Linked DNA regions of Drosophila melanogaster. The gene in region 2 interacts genetically with the main gene of each other region. Each region holds a gene or a part of one and is shown on either strand. Other genes may lie near its edges. The genes, in order: f, su(Hw), abd-A and HIPP1.

What was found.
Region 1: of su(Hw) (region 2) and f, changing one suppresses a phenotype caused by changing the other (phenotypic suppression), as found in Drosophila melanogaster (2 studies listed by BioGRID).
Region 3: of su(Hw) (region 2) and abd-A, changing one enhances a phenotype caused by changing the other (phenotypic enhancement), as found in Drosophila melanogaster (2 studies listed by BioGRID).
Region 4: of su(Hw) (region 2) and HIPP1, changing one enhances a phenotype caused by changing the other (phenotypic enhancement), as found in Drosophila melanogaster (one study listed by BioGRID).

What each region holds. Positions count from the first base shown.
Region 1 is NC_004354.4:17,257,796-17,262,381, reverse strand, and holds the start of f (forked), read right to left. Parts: upstream 3,009-4,586; 5' UTR 2,908-3,008; coding exon 2,051-2,907; intron 1-2,050.
Region 2 is NT_033777.3:14,303,934-14,310,361, forward strand, and holds su(Hw) (suppressor of hairy wing), read right to left. Parts: upstream 4,657-6,428; 5' UTR 4,343-4,656; intron 4,276-4,342; exon of another isoform or gene 4,102-4,275; intron 4,038-4,101; 5' UTR 4,023-4,037; coding exon 3,165-4,022; intron 3,099-3,164; coding exon 2,671-3,098; intron 2,614-2,670; coding exon 2,481-2,613; intron 2,411-2,480; coding exon 2,220-2,410; intron 2,152-2,219; coding exon 2,027-2,151; intron 1,966-2,026; coding exon 875-1,965; 3' UTR 522-874; downstream 1-521. Other genes in the region: IFT54 (intraflagellar transport 54), read left to right, coding at 1-477; Polr2I (RNA polymerase II subunit I), read left to right, coding at 5,254-5,643. UniProt on the Drosophila melanogaster protein: Component of the gypsy chromatin insulator complex which is required for the function of the gypsy chromatin insulator and other endogenous chromatin insulators.
Region 3 is NT_033777.3:16,825,059-16,829,673, forward strand, and holds the start of abd-A (abdominal A), read right to left. Parts: upstream 3,048-4,615; 5' UTR 2,946-3,047; coding exon 2,077-2,945; intron 1,250-2,076; coding exon 993-1,249; intron 1-992. UniProt on the Drosophila melanogaster protein: Sequence-specific transcription factor which is part of a developmental regulatory system that provides cells with specific positional identities on the anterior-posterior axis. Required for segmental identity of the second through eighth abdominal segments.
Region 4 is NT_037436.4:20,807,669-20,813,859, reverse strand, and holds HIPP1 (HP1 and insulator partner protein 1), read right to left. Parts: upstream 4,192-6,191; 5' UTR 4,058-4,191; coding exon 2,932-4,057; intron 2,880-2,931; coding exon 2,410-2,879; intron 2,337-2,409; coding exon 1,663-2,336; intron 1,604-1,662; coding exon 1,393-1,603; intron 1,337-1,392; coding exon 1,190-1,336; intron 1,135-1,189; coding exon 982-1,134; 3' UTR 528-981; downstream 1-527. Other genes in the region: CG3618 (uncharacterized protein), read left to right, coding at 1-340; CG3634 (uncharacterized protein), read left to right, coding at 4,883-5,021, 5,087-6,191.

The DNA.
Region 1 (4,586 bases), on a different chromosome or scaffold from region 2:
ACCGAGGGATCTCATTTCCCGATCTCCTTTGACAAGGGTCAGCAGAGAAAAAATATTGCATACTTTTCAGCTTGCTTTGTATCTCCAATTGCAGTCTACTTTTCTGCACCCCAAACAAATGACTTAAGACACAAACTTACACACTAAGCTAAGGACTTAAGACACGAACTTGCCAAGAAAGTGCAACACAATTTTAAAACTAAATATTTAATATATTATTGAAATTCATTTAACGCCTTCCTTTTTACTAATATCTAGGAACACTAAATAATATATAAGTTTACCTTTGTTGCGAAGCAAATTAGTTACAAATTTCCTTAAAATTCACTTTTATTTCATTTTTCTCTTTACTAATAGCTAATTGTTTTTTTTTTACTCTTGTTGCAAATCTAGTAGCATGTTCAATATAGCCCACGAAAATTGCTCATTGTTATTAAATTGTTTGCTTGACAGCCATTTAGGCACAACTTTTAATTAATTAATTGGCCGGGGGAAGTGATGGTTATTAATTTTGATGGCATCTTTGTGCGCATCTTGGGCTGCACTTGGATTCACTGAGTGCCCTTTTCCGAATCACTAAACCAGGTCAAGTCTGCTGCTGACTCACCTGATTGCCGTTTCCGCGGCACAAATAAACAATAACAATCATAATAATAATGCTAAGAGAAACAATACACACGGCGACACATTAATTGAAAGCTGAGAAGCAGCGCCGCCAGCATTAAAATGCGAAAATACCGGGCATTTGTGGATGGATCTCGTTTGTCTTTGCTCGTTTGTCGCTGCTTTCCTCTTGTGGCAACAAAAAGAAACAGAAAGCCGCGAAGACGACACTTTCTTCCAGTTTATTGCATCAACGCTGGCATCGCCGAACACACCAAATGGCAAATGGAAAATGGAAGCGGGCCGGTAGCAGGTGTCAACAAAACAGGGCAGGTGCCACCGAGCCCATGAAACCCACGAAAACCACAAAGCCAACATAGCCAACAAAGCTAACAATCCGACAAAACTCACAAACATTTAGCTGAGAAAGAAAAAAGTGAAATAAGCTATTTGGCAATAGCATTGCAGGCCAGTTGGTCAACTGAAGTGGCAAAGGGGGTTAAGAAAATTATGATCTTTAAGGGTGTTAAGAGGTGCCCTCTGTTTTTTGGCTTCATTTGATCGCTGGCTCGTGATATAACTCAAGTAAACAGAAAGTAAATACTTATTTTAAAGGTGAAACAACTAAATTTTACATTTCCAATTGGCTGTTCGCATTAGACTTATTGATTCGTGCAGCTATTTAAAAAATGTATTTGCTCAATACTCCTATATACAAAATATTTTTGGCTAAGATACTAATGAGCATGGCAAACGCATCCATGCGGTTAATACTGTAATTCAAAAAGCAAAATTATAAACCTTTCAAGGCAAGCTGCTTTAAGTGAGTATTAAACAATACAAATAGTTTAATAATCTACAGACTTTAGAGTTTGTTTCTATTAACCTTTCGTTCATAGCATCAAAACAAAAACATAAATAGTTAAGTAAATATGTATGGGAGAGGAAGGGGATGGTCAAAGTTCGGAAAAAGTGAAAGAACAGAGAACGGAAGAAAATAATCATTTAAGAAATTATACTCATGAAGATCTGTGGGTTTTTATGAAATGGGAAAGCCGGAGAGTTTGTGGGAAATTTGCAAGCTGCTTTCGATCCAAAAGTTCGCACATAATCCGATGGGTAAAAACTATAAATTATATACCCATCCCGGATTTTGTCGTGGCAACAGACTCATTAAATAATAATACGAGTTTCCAAAGATTTTTTAAAGGTTGCACTGATATCAAATATTTCGGGTAGCACTTAAAAAAATATAGCACTAAATATAGAACCATAGTCAATAAATTGATATTTCTTGCACTCCCATATTATTGTAGAATTTGCACTTGTTTGTAGTCTTTATCGACATATTACTGTAACTAATTGATTTTGGCGCTCGTCTATTTTTGCAGCTAATTTGTGTTCTGGTTTGCCGTTTTTGTTTATTTTTTCTAGCGATTTCTTTTACCTCAATTTGATGGCAATATCGCGGCACTTGACGCATGGCACCTGGCCGGATTCCTTGTCGGGCACTGCTGCACTGCCTCCTTTTTCCGCTGGAGCTATTGTGGCATATTGGGCCTCCTCCTTTTCCGGCTGCTCATCTGCCTTCTCATCCGCCTCCGTTTCGCTTGCGAAATCCACCACCAACTCTTCGTTGGATTCCCGGTTGGATGTAACCACTTGCCTCTTGCTAAAATAGCCCACATGTTGGTCCACTCCCGCATTGGCATCCAGCAGGATGCGCTCGTAGGCGGCGCTCTCGTTTTCCGAGAGGGCAAAGCGCTGCTCGAAAACCCGCACGGGCAGCGAACTTTTCCTTAGCACCTCCATCCGCTTGTGCCGCAGCTCGATGGAGAAGATCAAGCGGACGCGCACCAATCGCCGGAGACCCTGATGCGTTGACCTGGCGCGCTGTAACCTCCTGCGCTGCTGTCTCAGCTCCAATTTCTCCAGACCCTTCAGCGATTTGGGATCGACCAGACCGTGATTGTAATCCTCCACTGCTGTCAAATCCAAAGCGGATCGCGTGCGACGCCAGGGCACCAAGTCGAAGTGAGCACCCGCCCAGGGATGGAAGTTCACCTGGCTGACGTTGGTGCTGCGATCCTGCTTGAGGATCCAATCCGATTGCTGCTCCTTGGTCACACGAACGTGATCATTCCGTGCCGCTGCCTGCGGCTTGTGGCGTTTATATCGCGGCACCAGTGTCGCCTCCAACATCCGAGCATCCAGACCGTAATCGCGACGCAGCTGCTCCAGCTCCCTGCTGCTGGCCGTAAACTGAGCACCGTTCCACACGATCACCGGCGCACAACTGGCCATTGGATTCGTTTCGTGGCTTGTTCCTCTTCTGGTTTTGGTTCTATATACGTATTTGTACGTTCGTTCCCACCCCGAAAATTCGTTCCCCCAAATTCCCGAACTAGTTGACTTTATGTCACTGATTGCGTTCTGTTTCTGATTTTCTGAAAACCCGCTCGTTTTCCGGTTTCCGCTCGGCAATGTCGCGTTTGTCGCGTCCGCGCTCCGTGACGCCGGCGACGCAAATGTTCGCTGGCCAAAAAAGATACAACTTCAAAATCCGCAGTCGGATTCCTATGCAAAAACGTTGCGCCAGCTGCGCTGCCAGCCAAACGCCACTCATGATTAAGAGTTTTCTGTTGCTGCTCTTCTCTGTTATTGTTATTGTTATTGTTGATGTAAATGTTTTTGTTATTGTAATTGTGATTATGGGCTGTTTTGTTGGAGCTGCTGGTGTTGTTGGTGCCGCTTTGTTTGCCGATATGCCACTGCTGCCGCAGCTACACGCAGCTACAAATATTGCAAATGCCCATTTAATATCTACTTAAATTTTTTTTTATTAATTTTAACACACTTAACTATAATGAATACTCTTAATAATAGTAATAATTGTAATTTTGCAAATAAAAAAAAATTAAATACAATATTTACAATCTAAATGACCATATTTTTCAAAACAAAATGAAAACAAATTTACTTTTAAAAAACATTTTACCTTTTTAAATAGGAACTTGAGTGACTTCTGCGTCATTTAATACCTATTTCTTTAGTTATTTATTTCAAGTGTGACAGGATCGACAACTTGTAAAACTGTTCAATTATTCACTAACGGTCTACTTCTAAAACTTAGATTTATTGTATGACTTTACTGCTTTTTATTTGCAAGTTTATTTTCGTATTTAAACATTTTAATTTTTATCTTACTTTTCACTCATTTTAAATCACTTTCTAGCAGGTTCGGACTGAAGCTATTAAAGGTGATTTACATCCACTTTGCCCGGACTCAGGCTAGCATTTTCTCTCTGTGCACGTTCAACGTTTGCTCAATATTGAAGAGTCGCGGGCTTAGCTGCCCCTCTGATTGTATTATTTATTTATTTTTCACGCTCACTGCCATGTCAACTCTGCTCTGGGGCAACCCTCTGACGGCGTCGACGTCGACGTCGCTTCACTCGGCTGAGCACGCGTCAGCAACAACAGAAACAACAACACTGGCATGCATAGTAATATTAACTAAAGCCCATAGTTGTTGGTATTATCACCGCTGTTGCTGGCCATTCTGCAATTCGAGTTCACAATTCTATTCTCGGCTAATTGACGGCATCGGGCCATTGGCATTGTATTGGCCAAATTAACCAACAATTGCGACAGTGAAATAGGCCCTTTTATAGTCCACATATATAGTACAAATATAGGTTCATAAAACAATACTTGAAACGAATTAATCATATCTCTTAACTATAATTTCACGTTGATCTATTGGAAAATATTTTTATTATTTATCTGTTCATGAATTGTTGAAGATGTTATAATATATTTTATCCTATAACTATAAAAAGAATTATTTAAAATTACGTTTGTAAATATTTTAAATATGTAAATATTTTTTGTAAAACATATTTGTTATAGTACATAATAGTCTTTATAATTATTTCAGCTACTTAAGGCCAATTTCATCATCGTTTTCCATTTGCCTTGAT
Region 2 (6,428 bases):
GATATTGTCGAAGGTGGCGGTGACGAACCGGCATTGGAAGGACAGCTCGATGCCCAGGGACGATTGGTGCAGCAGATCTTGGAAACGCAAAAGGAACTGGTCAATCAAGGCGCCGAAGTGGAACCGCCTCCAGCACAGGCAGGCCGACAAACTTCTGCGCGCCAGGTGAACGACGTACGCGACGTAGTCCAAAAGCTCACCAAGTCGATAGGTCCGCTGGGTAAACTACTGGACTGCATACCCGAGGATTTTGATGCAATGCAGCTGGAGCTTACGATGTGGCGCGACACCTACACGCAGGCATCCACGGAACTAAAAAGGGAGCAGACTCTCACGGCATCTGCCACGGAGCCCCTGCAGCATCAGTTGCAGCAAATCCAAGCCAGCATTGCGGAGTACCGGGAGCTAATCGACGAGAGTCGCCACAAGATCTTGCAAAACAACGCACGTATTCTGAAGTTGATGATGGAACAGTAAGCATTGAGGATTAATAAGCATTGTTAAAAATTCAAGAGAGTTTTATCGAAAATATTGAATTTGTATATTTTATAATTAATAAGAGTACTATAAAAATAGCCATGCATATATTGCTTGGTAACATCATTCAATTCAAAAATATATAAAATCTATATAATAATATCAAAATATCTTTGATATGTAATATGTTGGTTTGTTTGTTTTTGGGTAATTTGTCAATGCGCAAGATGTCTGAATATTCAAGCAACAGACGGTAAGTTTCTCTTTTAAGGTCACTTGGTGTTTGTACCAAAACCAACGATCTTAAAAATACAAATGTTGTAAAAATCATCAACGATCAATTCCTAGAATATGGTTTTTGTGCGGTAATTGTACGCATGCATCAAGGGCTGGAAAATCAAGCTTTCTCTTGTTCGCCTACAGGTTTTTTCTTATTTTCCCGGACCACCTCCTCTGAGTTATCCTTATCCACAGCTTTCCCCACGATCTCCTTCTTTTCAGATTTCGCCGAAACTTCCTTCTTTTCCGGTTTCTCTCTGATTTCATTTGTTTTAGTTTCGCCTGTGACCGACACCGCTTCTTCATCACCTGAATGTGACTCATTGTCTTTGTCCAATCCACCTTCGTCCTGATCCTCATCTCCCAGTACATATTCGATCACATCGTCGATGGGGAAATTATTGAGCAGCGACTTGATGGAATCGTTGTGAATGACCACGGTAAAGAGCAGTTTGCAGTACTCTCGCATGCGGCTACCGTAGTCAAGCTCAGCGTAGTTTTCGCCACCTTTGGTTAGGTCGTGGCCACAGTTCTCGATCACTTTGCAGAGCACCGTCTCCTCGGGGGCATTGGGCCAGCCGTATTTCTTTAGGATCGGTGGATCCACTAGCATATCAATAAGTTTACCCACATTCTCTTTGAGCTTTATGTCCTCCTCAGTTAGAATTTCGCCACTGAAGTCATCCTCGCTACATGATTCTTCCAAATTATCTGCGATGGCAGCGGCCAGACTGGCGGCCAGGGATTTACGCTGCTCTTTCTTTACCACCGGCGAGACCTGCGCCTCCTCCTTCTTCGCCTCGGGCTTAACGCCAGCCTCATCCGTCAGCTGCTCTCCCTCGATGGCCCCGTCCAGGGGCAGAATTGTGTATGTTTCGTTTTCTAGTGTAATGGTCTGGGCCGCGCCATCGCCTTCGTCCACGAGGAATTCACGCACCACAACGCCATTCCCGTCCGTTTGGCTAGAAATTAACGAGCCCGCCGATGTGTTTAACGCCACTGGTACAACCTCCTCCGATTCGATGTCCTTCTTTGCCCGCTTTGATGGATGCGGCTCAACGCCAAAAATGTCATCCGGATCGCATTCGTGAACGGTGCGTATGTGCCGTCGCAGGGTATCGCTGCTGTCAAAGTTCTTATCGCAAATGGCGCAATCCGTGCGTTCCATAATTTTGACGGCCGATCGCATTGATGACCGTTGTTGTTTCGCTACAAAGGGTAGGAGCGGGATTAAAGCCTTGATTATTGCCAATTGTCGATTCCAACTTACGGCTGTGTTTTCCCTCGTCCATATGCTCCTTGAGCAATGCTGGAGTGCGGAAATTACGCTTGCACTCGGCGCAGGAAAAGACGGGGCGTTTTGTGCGAGAATGGGTCTTCACATGGCGCTCAAGTCTGCGAAACAAAATTGCAATAAGTAAGTAGGGCTAACAGAAAAGATAAAAGGTTTTTTAATATCTTACTGTTTCTCTGTTTTGAATTTTTCGTCGCATTGCTCACAGGGAAAGGGGCGAATATGGGTTTTGGAATGGGTGCGCAGCTGGGTGGCCTGGATAAAACTCTTGCCACATTCATCACACTTGTGCGGACGCTCTCCAGTGTGCCGTTTCATGTGACGATTGAGCACTTCCTTTACGGCAAATGCTTGGTTGCACTAAAAGGTAATAGAATACCGCATTGTTACAATAGGTTAAATGAAAAGTTACGGAAGTTTTAAGACTAACCACAGTGCAACTGTATGGTTTCTCGCCAGTGTGATAGCGTCGATGCTTTTTAAGGGCCACCAATGCAGAAAACTTCTTGTCGCAAAGATCGCAGTCAAATGGTTTCTCCCCCGTATGAGTGCGTATGTGAATGCTGCGAAAATATACCGAACATTACTTTATGTCTTTTAAAATCAATTAGAAAACCTACTTCAGCGTGGACAGGCTGTAGAAACAATTCTTGCACGTGTGGCACATGTACTCCGGCTTTTTAACCACCTGTGTACCCAAATGCTGCTTCAAATGCGATCGCAGGTTGTCCAGCCGATAGAAGACACGATCGCACACCTTGCAGCTCATGGTATCGGTCTCGTTCGATGAGCACGATGAGTACTTCTGGTGGCGCTTCAAGTGGTACGAGCGGGTGAAGTCCTTGCCGCAGATCTTGCATGCATACGGCTTGCCACGTGACTTGTGCTGTTCCTCGTGGAGCGCCAACAAGGCCTCGCTGCGCAAGTTGGCATTGCAAATGGAGCAAGGAAAATCGCTGAACTCGGAGTGAGTGATGAAAATGTGGCGTTCGTAACTGGTCTGTGTCTTAAACGACTTGGGGCAGTCGGGACAGTTAATGTGACCCAGCTGAAAGGAAAATGTGGTATGCGAAAGTTATGCTTACTTCTCTTGGTATCAATCTTTATGACTTACATGGAAGGTGTCGTAACTTTCGCTGCAGCAGAAGCATATGTCCTTCTTCTCCATCACCACGGCATCCTTCTCGATCTTCTCCAGGTTCTTAAGCATGTCGGCTTTGCGCAAATGATACCCACTGTCATAGCGACAGAACTCTAGATGCTTTTTCAGACTCTGAACGCGACGGAAGGTCTTGTAGCATTTGCCACACACATGCTCCACGATCTCCTTGATCTTTGTCTGGCTAGAGTTGCCCTTGCCTGAGGAGTCTTCACCGTCCTCATCACCATCCTCCCCTAGATCCTCATCGTCCTCGGTGACAACGATCTCCTGGCCGTTGTTATTTTCTATTCTGCCCGGAACTACTTCCTCATCATCCGCTAGAATGAAATCAATGGTGTCATCTTCTTCGGTGACCACGGTAACCGTGGTGTCCGCCTTGGTATTTTCTGATTTCACAGCCTGAAGTACATAGTGCTCCATTTTCTTTCTTTTACTGGGAGACGTCTTGATCTTGGTAGTTTCCACGGCTGTCACGGTAGCACTGGGTGTCTTTTTCTCGTTCAGAATCTTCACAGTGGAAGCAGCCGGAGCTGTGCTCTTTGTGGCGCCCCGTTTCTCAGTTTTCGGAGTGCCCAGTATTTCTTCATTGAGTATTTTGATGCGCGATCCAGCGACACTGCCACGCTTCTCCTGCTTGTTGGAGGGAGTTCTTGATGTGGTAGTAGTAGTGCTTGCCTCCGAATCCTCACCAGCTCCCACGTCATTCAAGAGCTTCATCCTGGTGGCGGGACGTTTGTCCTTAGGCGGCGAAATGTTTTCCACACCCAGCAGCTTGCCCTTCTTTTCCTTGCCCTCCTTGGAGGCACTCATGTTGGTGATACCAGCCTGCAATTAAGATCGATTGGATGATAATTCAGGATCAGGATAACCAGTGACCGCTTTAGTCTACTTTTAGGCACGTGATTTACTGAACATCACATTTTGCCAGCGTCACCAACACACGCCCAAAAGCTGCTAAGAAAAAATGGCGTCGCGCTGTTCGATCTTTACGATCGATCGGCCTTGGTGTGAGCGAGACAACACTACCTGCGCCTGACGCACAGAAAACGCAACAAGTTTTCTTCTGAAATAAAATTGTATTTCAAAGGGGTAGCAAATAATTCTAATACACTCGCAAATCCGTAGCATACTTTTCAAATATTTAATGTGATTTTGTGCCGGCGAAGGACGTGGAGGATCGGTTTTAACCACTTATTTTGCTGATTAGAAGTGCACTTTTCTGCTCCGCAGCGAAAGAAAGTGACTGCCATCGCCGATAAAGAGCGTGAAATTATCAAGTCACTGGCTAAGGTATTTGCTTCACAAACATGTCCTCATATCACGGGATGCGTTCCTTAAAGGGTTTTGACCGCATTTCCGATAATAAATCACAATTTACCTAATTTTATGCTTTAAATTCCAACACGACAAGCGTTTGTGTATGAAAATTCAGTGTGACCGTTGCATGTAGGTTGGAAAATACCATTAATTACAACAACCCGTGAAAAAATAATCTGAACATGCCGCCATGAAAAGTACAAAGAAATTTCCTCTGTTTTGAATCTTCTGGGTTGTAAATTTGTAATAATTCCAACATAAATTTAAAATAAATAGCCGGTGTCTGGCTTAATATTATATTAACTTTTTATTGGTTAACTTTGTAAGCATAGATTAATGATCCGAACAATAAAGCTTATATGGAACATTTCACTATTTATATATAATTTCAGTCGAAGGCCACCGCAGCCGTTGCTCGGTAAGATAATTATCAGGTTTAACATTTTATACAAAAAGTAATTGAATAAAATACAAATAAATGCATTCTTTAATATGCATTTTGATAAAATAAAAAACAAAATATATAAGCATATAATTAAAATAGCAGTGCTCACAAGGGTTAAAGGCTAGTATGTTAATGAGGTATACCTATCCCATGATCTCGGTATATTTAAGCCGCCTTGCCACGGTCACACTTTCGCCAATTGCAACGATAAAAAGGTAAATAAAAGCCGCATTAACTCACAAATTGCAATTAACTAGCAATAATTGTAAGCCAATAGCCATGACGACTGCCTTTGATGCCGCACACACTGAGGGGCCGGGATTCGTGGGCATTCGGTTCTGCCAGGAGTGCAACAACATGCTGTACCCCAAGGAGGACAAGGAGAACAAGATCCTGCTGTACGCCTGCCGGAATTGCGATTACAAACAGGAGGCGGACTCCAACTGCATCTACGTGAACAAGATTATGCACGAGATCGACGAGCTGACCCACATTGTGCCCGACGTGATTTCCGATCCCACGCTGCCGCGCACCGAAGACCACGCTTGTCCCAAGTGCTCCCATCGGGAGGCGGTCTTCTTCCAGGCGCAAACTCGTCGCGCCGAAGAGGAGATGCGACTGTACTACGTGTGCACCAACCAGAACTGCACCCACCGTTGGACGGAGTAGAAACTGACGACCCATCTGCCTCTAATTGTAGCCCTAAGTAATCGAAGGCACTTTGCAATCGTACAATTGGAATTCCCCCATGGCTATGCCGCAAAAACATCCCACGTGCAGCTCCATTCTCGGTTGTCGCCTAATGTAATAACATTCGCACTGAAAAAAAATGCATGTGATCCGCATGACTTTGAATCACTTGCAAGAACTTCGATTTGGTTTGTATAAATGTTTAAATAGCTCAGTCTTAAAAATAAATATATAAGTTCATTGCGAGAAAACTGCTGTATCATCTTACTATATGTTTTGGCAAAACTACTTAATTTCAATGATCAAATGTTCAAGTGCAGTTGAGAAAACAACGAAAGTGTTCCGGGTTTATGATAAAATTTAGCAGGTTAAGCTGCATATTTAGGCAACATAAACTGCAAAACCAGATTTCATAGTTATAAACTTAATCAAGTCAGCCCGCTTGTATTCAAATGTCTTCATTATTTATTTATAAATGAATGTGTACTATGACTGACAATCTATGAATGTAAAACTGAGCGAGCAACGAATCTCCCCGAGGCATGTGCGAATTCCACAGTTCACGGCCCGGTGACAATTCTTCATATTTATCATTGTTCTGCTCTAATCGAAGCTGACAACAAACAAAATAAATAAAAAAAATAAGAACCGAAAGCGACGAAGAAATGATTGAACAAGTTTCTTGTGCGTATCAAACGACTGCCCATTTGAGTATTTGAGTAGTAGACCTGGCTTGGCTTGGCCCGATCCCCGGAATCGTCGCT
Region 3 (4,615 bases), 2.5 Mb from region 2:
GGATATGTGGATTTTGTATGCGCGGGGCACATCGCAGTGTTTTTTGGTCGGCATTTTGGGCTATACGTTTGTCGGTGTGGGGCAACCTTGAGGCTATTTAAATTACAAATCGACGCCAAATAACACGACAGACAAGAGAAGCATTTCTCAAACTATTTTCATTTTTATTTACTGCCAACTTTTTAGCTCTTCGTTCATTTCGTTTACGGATTCGAATCGCCTGGAAGACTTATGCGAAATAAACGACTTGGAAGTGCTCCGCAAAGTGTTCATTACGAATTGGAATTGTAGGCGAAATGGCGGTGCAAATGGGAATGCTATTGGGGAACGTTTGCGCCACGTTTATCTATTGTTTATAAAAGGTACGCAGCAACCATTCCAAATACTACACTTGGGAAATTTAATTCGATAATTCGACTGGACGCTTTTTGTTAGGTCATACAATTTGTAAATCAGTTCGAACCTGGTTTAAGTCTACGGGTTGTTAAACAACTTAGCTGTTTAAATTTTTTAATTATAGTATTTAACCTAACATAGCGACTAAATAATTCAATCCAATATAAGTTCTTACAATTTTTTATTTGATTTTTTGATTTCAGTGTAAGTGGCCATGATTTATATGTACACAAAAAATTTTAAGAGATCGCTTTGTAGATCTTGAAGGCAATTTATTCTTGATTTAAGACGATATACATTCCCTGAAGTGCACGGATTATTTCTGATTTTATAATGATTGGCATGATATATAGAACACAGTAGATACGATAGACAGACTCTTAATTTAAAAGACTGATTGATTGGCTCAGTGTGATAAACTTGTATTGGGATATGTGTGATTCTCAATTCTAAAAATCGGATAACTTTCAAGATTTATCAAATTTGGCACTCACATTCAGATCCGAAGTCTTTCACAAAGAGTCCGAATCTGGCAGTTATTTTTTTACTTATGTATAATATATCTCCGCACTATCGAGTATCGAGTTTTGACTCACCTGTAAGCGTCATCCAGGGATACCTGGGCAGATCGGCGATACCGGCTCCGCCCGCTCCCCCTGCCCCTGGCATCACGCCGGAGGCGGGCTGTGTGCAGGCATTTCCCAGCGAGTCCACGCCGATCGCGCCGGCACTGGCCGCGGATACCGCGGATGCGGCGGCTGTGGCATGTTGATAGAACTGAGCGAACTGTGCAGATGCCGAGGCAGGTACGCTCATCGACTGGTAGCTGTTCATGACAGTGTCCGTGTACCTGCTGTGGGTGTGGGAGAGAGAAAGTAGCCATTATTGTTGGTGATCCCTGCTCTCATAGTACGTTCCCAACTCCAGCGCCCGTACTAAAGTCAAATGCTAATGAGGTGGCCATTTGCATGCCCCTTTCACCAAACTGCGGTTAGCTCTAATTGCACACTAATCCCGAACACGCCCACGCACAGCAGGGTTCACTGTACATGCACATGGAGTGCCCATACAGTAGTACTAATATGCAAATGGCCGCAGCGGAAGGTCAGCGTGCGTGCGAATCTTGTGGCCGGCGACAAATTGCCAGCGGCCACCACAGGCTGCTCTAATTTTCCGACTTTATGGCCATTCAATATGAATGGCCGGTGGCCGAGAGGAAAATGGACAGAGTCCCAGGATCCGAGACCCGATAATTAGAGCGCATTCGAAACGGATTTGCGGTTTTGCAGTGTTTGCAGATTTTACTGAAGGTCTCGACTGGCATTTCCGCTCGCCAAATTGAGAGCACGCGAAATTAGTTCTTGGAAGAGCTGAGTGTTTCTTTTTTTTTGTATTTTCAACCCCGGAAACATCTTCTTAAAGGTTTTGAAGCCAGGTAAAGCTAATGGTCATACTAAATTTGCATATATTTTAAAATATGATACTGTCTGAGAAGTTCTATCAATGCACTCCAAATATTTGAATATCATATTAGATAGTATAGATCATTTGTCATTGACTTTATATTTGCACTTCCTATTAGGGTCATTTAAGATCATTTTACTACGATTGGACATAAAACCCATCCCGATTTATAAAAATCTGCATTATCCCATACTTAAACAGGGCAATCTATCTTACCTGCACGACTTATCCTCCAGTCCGGTGAAGCCGGCCATTCCGGAGAGCCCTCCATGGCTGCTAGGGTGGTTAGACACGTACGGATACATCTTGCTGGTGGGGATGGCAAACGAGGAGCTAGCCGCAGCGGCGGCGGCGGCTGCAGCAGCAGCGACGGAACTGGCCGCGGATGCGGAGGCGGACGCGGATGCGGACCCGGGAGAGTTGTCGTTGAGGCTGCGGTGTAGCGAGGAGCTACCGGATGCCGAGGGCGATGGGGAGCAGCTGCTGTCGCCCGCTTGAGAATTGCCCGCTGACGGGGGCGTTAGCAACAGTTGCTGGTGGGCGTGTCCGTGCGAGGCAACTGCGGCGGCGGCTAGTTTGCTAATGTGGTGTTGTTGCTGCTGTAGCTGAAGAGCGGCCGAGAGCGAGGAGTATTGGTGGTGGTGTTGCTGCTGCTGGTGGTGCAGATGTTGCTGCTGCTGGTGGTTCAGGTGTTGCTGCTGCACCTGTGGGTGGTGCTGCTGGAAGGGCGACGATGAGGAGACGGGTGAGTGGGGCGATTGGCCCAGATGTTGGCTCAAATGGCTCGGCGATAGGGATCCTCCGCTCAAATTGAGATTACTGTTGTTGTTGCTGCTGCTGCTTGGACTGCTGCTGCTATTGTTGGTGTTGCTTGTGTTGCTTCCAGCGATCGTGTTGCTGCTGTTGTTGTTGCTGCTGCTGCTGGCTGAAACGCTGGCGGATGCAGAGGCGGCGGCGGCGGCTAGGGCGGCGGCAACTGCTGCAGATGACGAATTCGGGGGGGTGGTGGTTAAGTGGTGCGAACTGATAAACGGCTGGAACTGTGGATACTTTGGCAGCATACTATCGAAAACAAATTTTGACATTGCACATATTTTGCTCTCTGGCCGAGGATCGGATCTTCGGAATTTCGTTTAGTCCACTTGTTGTTCTATTTTAGTTTCGGAGATTTCTGAGTTCGAATGATTTGGGTTCTTTATCTGAGTCGTTTGGTTAATGGCTAGATTGAGTATTTCGTTTTATAATTTAAAGTTTCCTCTTTGTGTGACTTTAACAAATTTTGTTTGAATTCAGCGTGGAGAGGAGCGCTTTCTAGCCATAATAAAACAAAAGTTCCGACTACTTCTGTAAGCACAACCTAAATCTTAAACTTGAATGACTTTATAATTCAACACTGTGAGAAATAGCATTTTAAAAATATCTTTTTCTTTAACTTTTTCATAAGATTTACACAGCAATTTAATTTGTATCAATGTCTATTAAAATTTACTTGTCTTTAATGAACATCTCCCGTCTCTGTATTTAACTTTTCTACTTCATAATCGAATGCAAACTACATTGGACTTAGTATATAAATCACTAACAAAATTAATCGAATTAAAAGGTACTAAAAACAAAAATAAACTTGGCGTCCAATGTGATAAACAAGAATTAAAAATGGCAAAACAAAAAATATAACATGTTTATAAAAATTACTCGGAAACCATAAAAAGAACATTAACCAAATTGAATATGTTTGGATTGAACATAAATCTTTCGGGTAGCATGATACAGAACTCAAGTGAAAAAAATATATAATCCAAATGCTTTATATATTTTTCAGCTAGATTTCCCTGCCAGTGCCAACGAGTTAGTATGTGGGTTACTTTTACAGTACTATATGAGATGGCCAACAGTTAGTACTTTTTAGATAGAGTTAGTGAGACAGAATTCGGAAACTTTGCCAGCTGCCCGACTTTAAGCTACTTTTCTCGATTCCGAGAAGTGAAATGCATTTTGTTACCTTTCTCAAGTTTTCTCTAGCGAACTTTTGGCGAGCAGCTTGTATTTGCAGCTTTTCTGTTTCTGTTACTTTTTTCGCTCGAAGCTGGCGAATTCACAACGAAATTTGTTAAATTTGCATATGGTCTCGGGTTGCGTTGTATTTGCAGCTGTGGCACAAGTGTGTGTGTCGCATGTGTGTGTTTGGGGTGTGTGTATCTTTTATTTGTTGTAAAAGCAATTAAAATGCGGTCATCAATTACGCGGAAATTCGAATGGACGTCGTGCCGGCGGGATTTCGTACGTGTGATTTATAGGCGCGCGATCTTTTTTAATGGCACTCTTGTATTTTTATGGCAGAGTGAGTTTCCTGCGGCTTTTAACGACTTCTCAAGTGCGTGAGTGTGTGTGTGGCCGGAGAAATGCTTTCTCCCAACGTTTTGCTTTAATTACTTTGTTTAAAATGTCATAAAACACTTTGCAGGTAGAACTATCGAAGTCTGGAACGGAGAGGCGAGAACCTTTTTACGATGTCAACTTTATGTCTTTTTAATTTTTACGAACCGCACACAGTGAGTTATAAACCATAGTGTTTTGACAGTTTTTTCGGTTTTAAATTTCACACACAATTTTATTATATTTTACGCGATCTATAACATTTAAGTGACAATAAGCCGGCGGCCGAAACGGAACAATAAACACGGCGAATCGGAAACTGAATCGTATTGCCGCACTACAGTCGTATAGTCGTATAATCGTATAATCCGAATCGGAA
Region 4 (6,191 bases), on a different chromosome or scaffold from region 2:
CGGAAGCTACAAAATGAACATGATTACAGAAACCGTGCTGCTAGTGGTTTTCGTGGGGGCCGATACCCACATTGAGAACACCTCGCGAAGCAACATCGTCCAGTTTTGCCGTCACGACCGCAAGGAGGTGGTGTGCCAACCGGATCTGAACAACCAGGACCACTCGATGCTTGTCGCAGATCTCGACCAGGACGGATCTCAGGAGCTAGTCACATACATGTCCACCTTCGTGCATCCCGAGGATCAGCCGCTGAGCGAATGGAAACTGCTGACCTACGTCCGTTTGTTGCGCCTCCAAGCAGAGCTACCTTCCTACTTCGAGGACCACAAGAACAACTAGATGGGCATTCAGATGGCGATCAGGAACTGAGTTGAGTTATAGAGCATTTAGCCAGCAGAAGCGTGCTGTCGATCATAAATAGTAGTTTAAACTAGTTGCGTGCATTACATTGTACATTAAAAACCTTTTCTAGCCTCCCATAATAAATTAGTCGACAAATAGATTTCAATTGATAAGTTCCGTTTATGGGAGCTGTTCATCTTATTTTATTTATTATGAGGCTTAACATTTTTTTCATATAACACAAGATATATTGCATGGGATCTTAAACTCCATTGTTTGATTGAAAAGTGAACTATTTGGGAATTTCGGATGACGGAAAATAAAATTTCGAATTTAAAACGTGTAAGCGATAATTTAATTTGCAAACTTTCCAATCCCAGCACGTTCAACTAATCGAGTTACCTTTAAAATCCTAATAGAACAGGATATAACTCCTGCCTCCGAATTTCTTACAATTTACACAGCGTTCGTACTTTACAATGGGGTAGGAGTAAAAAAATTCTTAGGGCGATAGTCTCATGGTCCAGAATAAAACTCCTAAAAGGACTCAACTAAATGTATGAATTAATCTTTATATGGTTTGTATGGATGAATGTCTACCATTCCCAAATGGTATACAGTAACTATAAATCAATGCTCTAAAAATCAACGTCGTTAAGATAGCGTTTGAAATTGGCTAAGCAATCGGCAGTAACCCATTGCTCTCCTATAACCTTTAGTTCCTCATCCAGACGCGGGAATTTCGTGACATTGACGGCGGAGTGGTTGAGTTTCTTTAGTGTACGATACATCTGTGGGATTTTCAATATAAGTTAACTAATAATAACACTAGATGTTACGCTTTACCTCCGCAGAGCTAGTGGATATCTGTTTGGCTTTGGCCAGAGCCATTTCGTTGACATTTCTGGCCTTGCAGATCTTGTCAACGAAACTATTCGATTCCAAAAGTTCCGTTGCGAACAGTCTTTCACCCATAAGAAACAAACGCGAGTGCTGAACGATACATGGGATGAGCTGTAGATAAGCTTTATAAAAGACTGAATATTTACCACTTCACTGGAAACTCTTTGGTGACCATGCCACAGAGCATAGCCCTCGGGCAGCTGACCCAATTTGGCATAGTTAGTCTCGAAGCTACAATCATCAGAGGCCACCACGTAGTCAGCAAAGGGAAGCTGCATAACGCCCAAATTAATCTGGCTGCCAACAATGCCAGCCACCAAGGGTTTAGGAAATGTGGCCAGAGTGCGTAGATAGCATCTAAAATGTAACGGTTTCGTTAATAAGCCTTTTCTCAAAGATACATTTGAATTACTTACTTAAGGGCTACAGCCAGTTGACTGGCACTATCCTTTCGCTTCTCCAGGGAACCCTGTATCAGTTCCTGGCAATCGATGCCCTGACAAAACTGTGGACCCTCGACGGTAAGCAACACCGTGTTGAATTCGCCTTTGCGGGCAACACTGGACAGTGTGTCGTTCAACTGCTCCAGCAGCTGCTTGCTGTACGTATGGCCGAAGTTTCCTCGTTCCGTGTGGATGACCAGGTGAGCAACTTTGTTAACCTTGTGCAGGCACACCAGTTCGCTACCGTTGTTCGCCTTCATATCGTTAGCCAGCGTATGCGAGGAGGTATCTTCACCGCCCCTTTGGCTCGACTTGCTTACGGGCTTTACAAACTTAAATGACGGGTCCGAGCCCTCGCCTGCATCATCAGACAGATTGGCTGCTCCGGGCCTATTGTCCAGCGAATTTCGACTTACGGAAGCGTTGCTGGAGTACGAGCTGTTGGAGCGCCGACGCATGATCATCGATTCCTCGCTGGCGCGCTGTTTGTAAACATAGTCCCACGAGTCGGAAGCGCGAGGCTTACGGGCAGATGTGTTGGCGGTGGCCTTAGTAAAAACAGAATCAGCAGGCGTTCGTTTGGCGGCCGATTGTGCTGACTCTTTTTTGGGCGGTGTTGGTTCCACAGCAACTCGTGCTGCCTGGTTCTTGTATTGGAAAATCATAAATATTCGATAATCGATAATAGGTATCTCGGATTTCTATAGTAGAAGTACTTACCCTTCCGGTTATGGTCATCGCTCGTTTCCGCATCAGCGGCTTATTGGACACCTCACCACCACTCAATTCCCGCTGCTCATGCTCCACTGCATGAATCATATTGGCAGCTCCCTCGTCGCCCATCAGGCGATCGATCTCAGAGACCTTTTTCTTTTTTTGAGTTCCTCCATTGGCTAGACCTGTGTTCGGAGTTTGCGCGCGTCGTTTGACGGGCGAGGGACCCCGCTCTGTTCCTCCGACCGGAGTGCCAGCTTTAGTAGACCGAGCAGTAGGTGTAGCTGACCGTTTTTTGGGTGCCACCTCCTTCTTAGTCGTCGTGGTGGGCGAAATGCTTTTGACAGTTGTTTTTGGTGTGGTGGGTGCTGGACATGCCGCCTTCGTGCTAGCATACTGCGCAAACGATTTTTTCGTCTCTGGTACATCGGGGTCCCAGATTATCTTCCTTTTAATTACACGCATACGCTTGAACCCTAAAAATTCAGTTTGTAAGCAATGATTTAATGAATTCCAACTTTACTGTACCCGTAGTATGCTCTTCGGTTTCCTTGGGAGGTGACACAACGACAGTCGGCTTGGTTTTTTCCGCTGCTGCCCCTGTTGAGGCTGCAAGTTGCTTTTGGCTCACGGTCTTTAACATTACTTTTACTCCGCTGATCTTGTTGTTTAGCAAAATTGCCGAGTTCGGGCTGTGCTTAACTGGGGATGACAATTTTTTCACAGGCAGAGGTGGCTTCTTAGTGACTACGTGTGCTGAAGGCAGAGTTATAACTTCTGTCACCAACGCGGAAGCCGACTTGTCTTCCTCAGAGTCGTAGTCGTCCCAATCATCGTTCAACGAGCTGACAATATCTATCGGCGCGACCACAGAAGGCGGCGCAGGCGGCTCCTTACGACGCGACTTTGGCTTTAGACCGGCCATCTGCTCCAGAGCAACAGCTCTGGCTTGTTCCGGGGAGAGCTTATGCTTGGATATAGAAGGCAAGGAGTTAGATTTGATGGGCTTGGACGCAGGTACCTTGGGGCTGGCTTTTCGACTCGATGACTCCCCCTCGTCGTCGTCAATTTCCATGATTTCGAACTGCCCTTCGCCCTCGATGGTAACACCTACATCCCCATCTTCTCCAACGCCGTCAAGCTCGGAGAGAGCCTTCTCCAATGTGCACTTTTCCTCTCCCGTAGGCTGATCATGACTGGTATCCGTCCCCTTGAGCAGGGCAATGAGATCTACCTCTTCCAAGGGGGATTCGCTGGACTGGCCGTTGCCTGAGGCAGCGTTGCCTTCTTCGATTATTGGGGTTCGACATTTAGCTTCATCTGGGGCCTGGCGGGGCTCTAAGCCACCATTGTCTGCTAAGGCAATTGGTGTGTCGGAATCCTTAACTTCGGACGCCGCATCCGGCGGTCGAATGTTATGCAGCTTAGCTATCTCCCTCTCCAGAGTGCTCAGCTCGTCCAAGCCTGGACCCTCTTCAGATCCGTTGAGATTGGCCAGCTCATTCTCCAAATCAGTGGGACCCGCACTTTCCGAGAGTGTTTCTAACGCCGCCGTTTTTAGTTCTAGAGTCTCAACTTTTTCGACTCCTGGTGGTGGCTCCTCTGCTTGGGTTGACTCCAGAGTTGTCACCGCACTATCCGACACCTGCTCCATGATTCCACTGCCCCACTGATGGCTTTCCGTTCAACAGGAGTTCCAAATTAAGGGCTTTGCGTGCTTGTTTCAATCGGATTGGTCTATTATAAAAAAAAGTGCACTTGCAGCTCAGCGGCCATTTTTTGTAGTGGTGCGCAGGTGGATCTATCGATAGGCGTGAAAATATCGGAAAAAGTGGATGGTTCGAGAATTACATTTTTCATTAAATTTAAACAACAATTAGCATTAAATAGATATCAGGTAGTTCGCTTATATATTTTAATATGTATGACCGGTTTTGTTATTATTTGCTATTAGAGTAAGTTCTTAGCGTGATCGTAAGAAATAACTGTCGAAATATGTTGAGCACAAATAAGAACCAAACTATTAAAACAAATATAAGTAATAATAGATAACAGTGGGAAATGTGTATATCTCTTGGCCATGCAATAGACTTTAGATACATGCGTGGAATATTTCTGAAAGAAGTTGAAAGGTCTTCCCGCAAGAACTTTTCAGAGTGACCAGTACGTTCAGCGGCATTTAGAAGGCGACGAGAAACGGTCACGTTGCGCTGGTATTTACCCCCCGCTCATCCCCTTTCGAATACTTGATTGAAAAAAGTCTCATCAGCAGCAAGGATACGCGCAAGGATAGCGCCAAGAAAGGCAACCGTTAATTGATCTAACCCCTCGGCGGTGGTCAGTGCCAGAGCACAGAGTATCCGCGAACCCCCAGGCACAAGCTAATCCCGGAGAGCGGCAAAATCCGGACGGAGCTGGGGCCAAAGCGAAACGAGCGTCGAATACAGAACTTCGCAGGCAGGGGGCAGCAGGCAGCAGGATGTGGGATTCGTCCATGTTTCTCAGCACTCTGACGCCTAAGTTCTACGTGGCGCTCACAGGGACCTCCAGCCTGATCTCGGGCCTGATCCTGATCTTTGAGTGGTGGTATTTCCGGAAGTATGGCACTTCGTTTATAGGTGAGTAGTGGGGTTCCCCTTCCTCCGCTTCCTTCTTATTCTGTTTCACTGTCCCTGTTTCGCAGAGCAAGTCTCTATCAACCACATTAGCCCCTGGATAAATGGCAGCGATGGCCAATCAGAGTCCAGCAATGGCAGTGGCAGCAGCAGCAGCAGTGGCTCCAGCAGCAGCAGCAATGGCGGAGCAGGCGGAGGAGGATCGGGTGGAGCAGGGGCATCAGGCAGTGGCAGCGCCACCACAAGTACGGGCACCCAAATGCCCGAGTGTAAGGTCTGGCGAAATCCACTTAATCTATTTCGCGGCGCCGAGTACCAGAGATTCTTTTGGGCCACCAGCAAGGAGCCGTTGACCTACTACGACATGAACTTAAGTGCCCAGGACCATCAAACATTTTTTACCTGCGAAGGCGATGCCCGCAAGGAGGAGTATGAGATCATGCAGACGGCCTGGCGCGAACGCAATCCCATGCAGCGCATCAAGTCCGCTCACAGTGCTCTGGAAATCAATGCGGAATGTGCACCTGCCTATATACTGCTGGCCGAGGAGGAAGCCATGACCATTATGGAGGCGGAGAAGATCCTGAAGACGGCCCTAAAGGTCGCCGAGATCAACTACCGCAAGTCGCAGGCCACCCAACACCAGGGCGCCATTGCGGATGGCATGCATCGGCGCGACACCAATGTGCTGATCTATATCAAGCGACGGCTTGCCATGTGCGCCCGCAAGCTGGGCAAGCTGAAGGAGGCGGCTAAAATGTTTCGCGATCTCACCAAGGAGATACCCTCGATCATGAGCGTACTGAACATTCACGAGAATCTAATCGAAACGCTGCTGGAGATGCAGGCCTACGCCGATTGCCATGCCATTCTGGCCAAGTACGATGACATCTCGCTGCCGAAATCGGCGACTATCTGCTATACAGCTGCTCTGCTGAAGGCGCGCGCCGTAGCCGACAAGTTTTCGCCAGACATAGCATCCAAGCGAGGTCTAAGTCAAGCTGAAATGAGCGCCGTTGAGGCCATTCATCGGGCGGTGGAGTTCAATCCGCATGTGCCCAAGTATCTGCTTGAGACAAAGCGACTTATTCTACCGCCAGAGCACATTTTGAAGCGCGGCGATTCGGAGGCGTTGGCCTACGCGTTCTTCCATCTGAAGCACTGGAAGCAGGT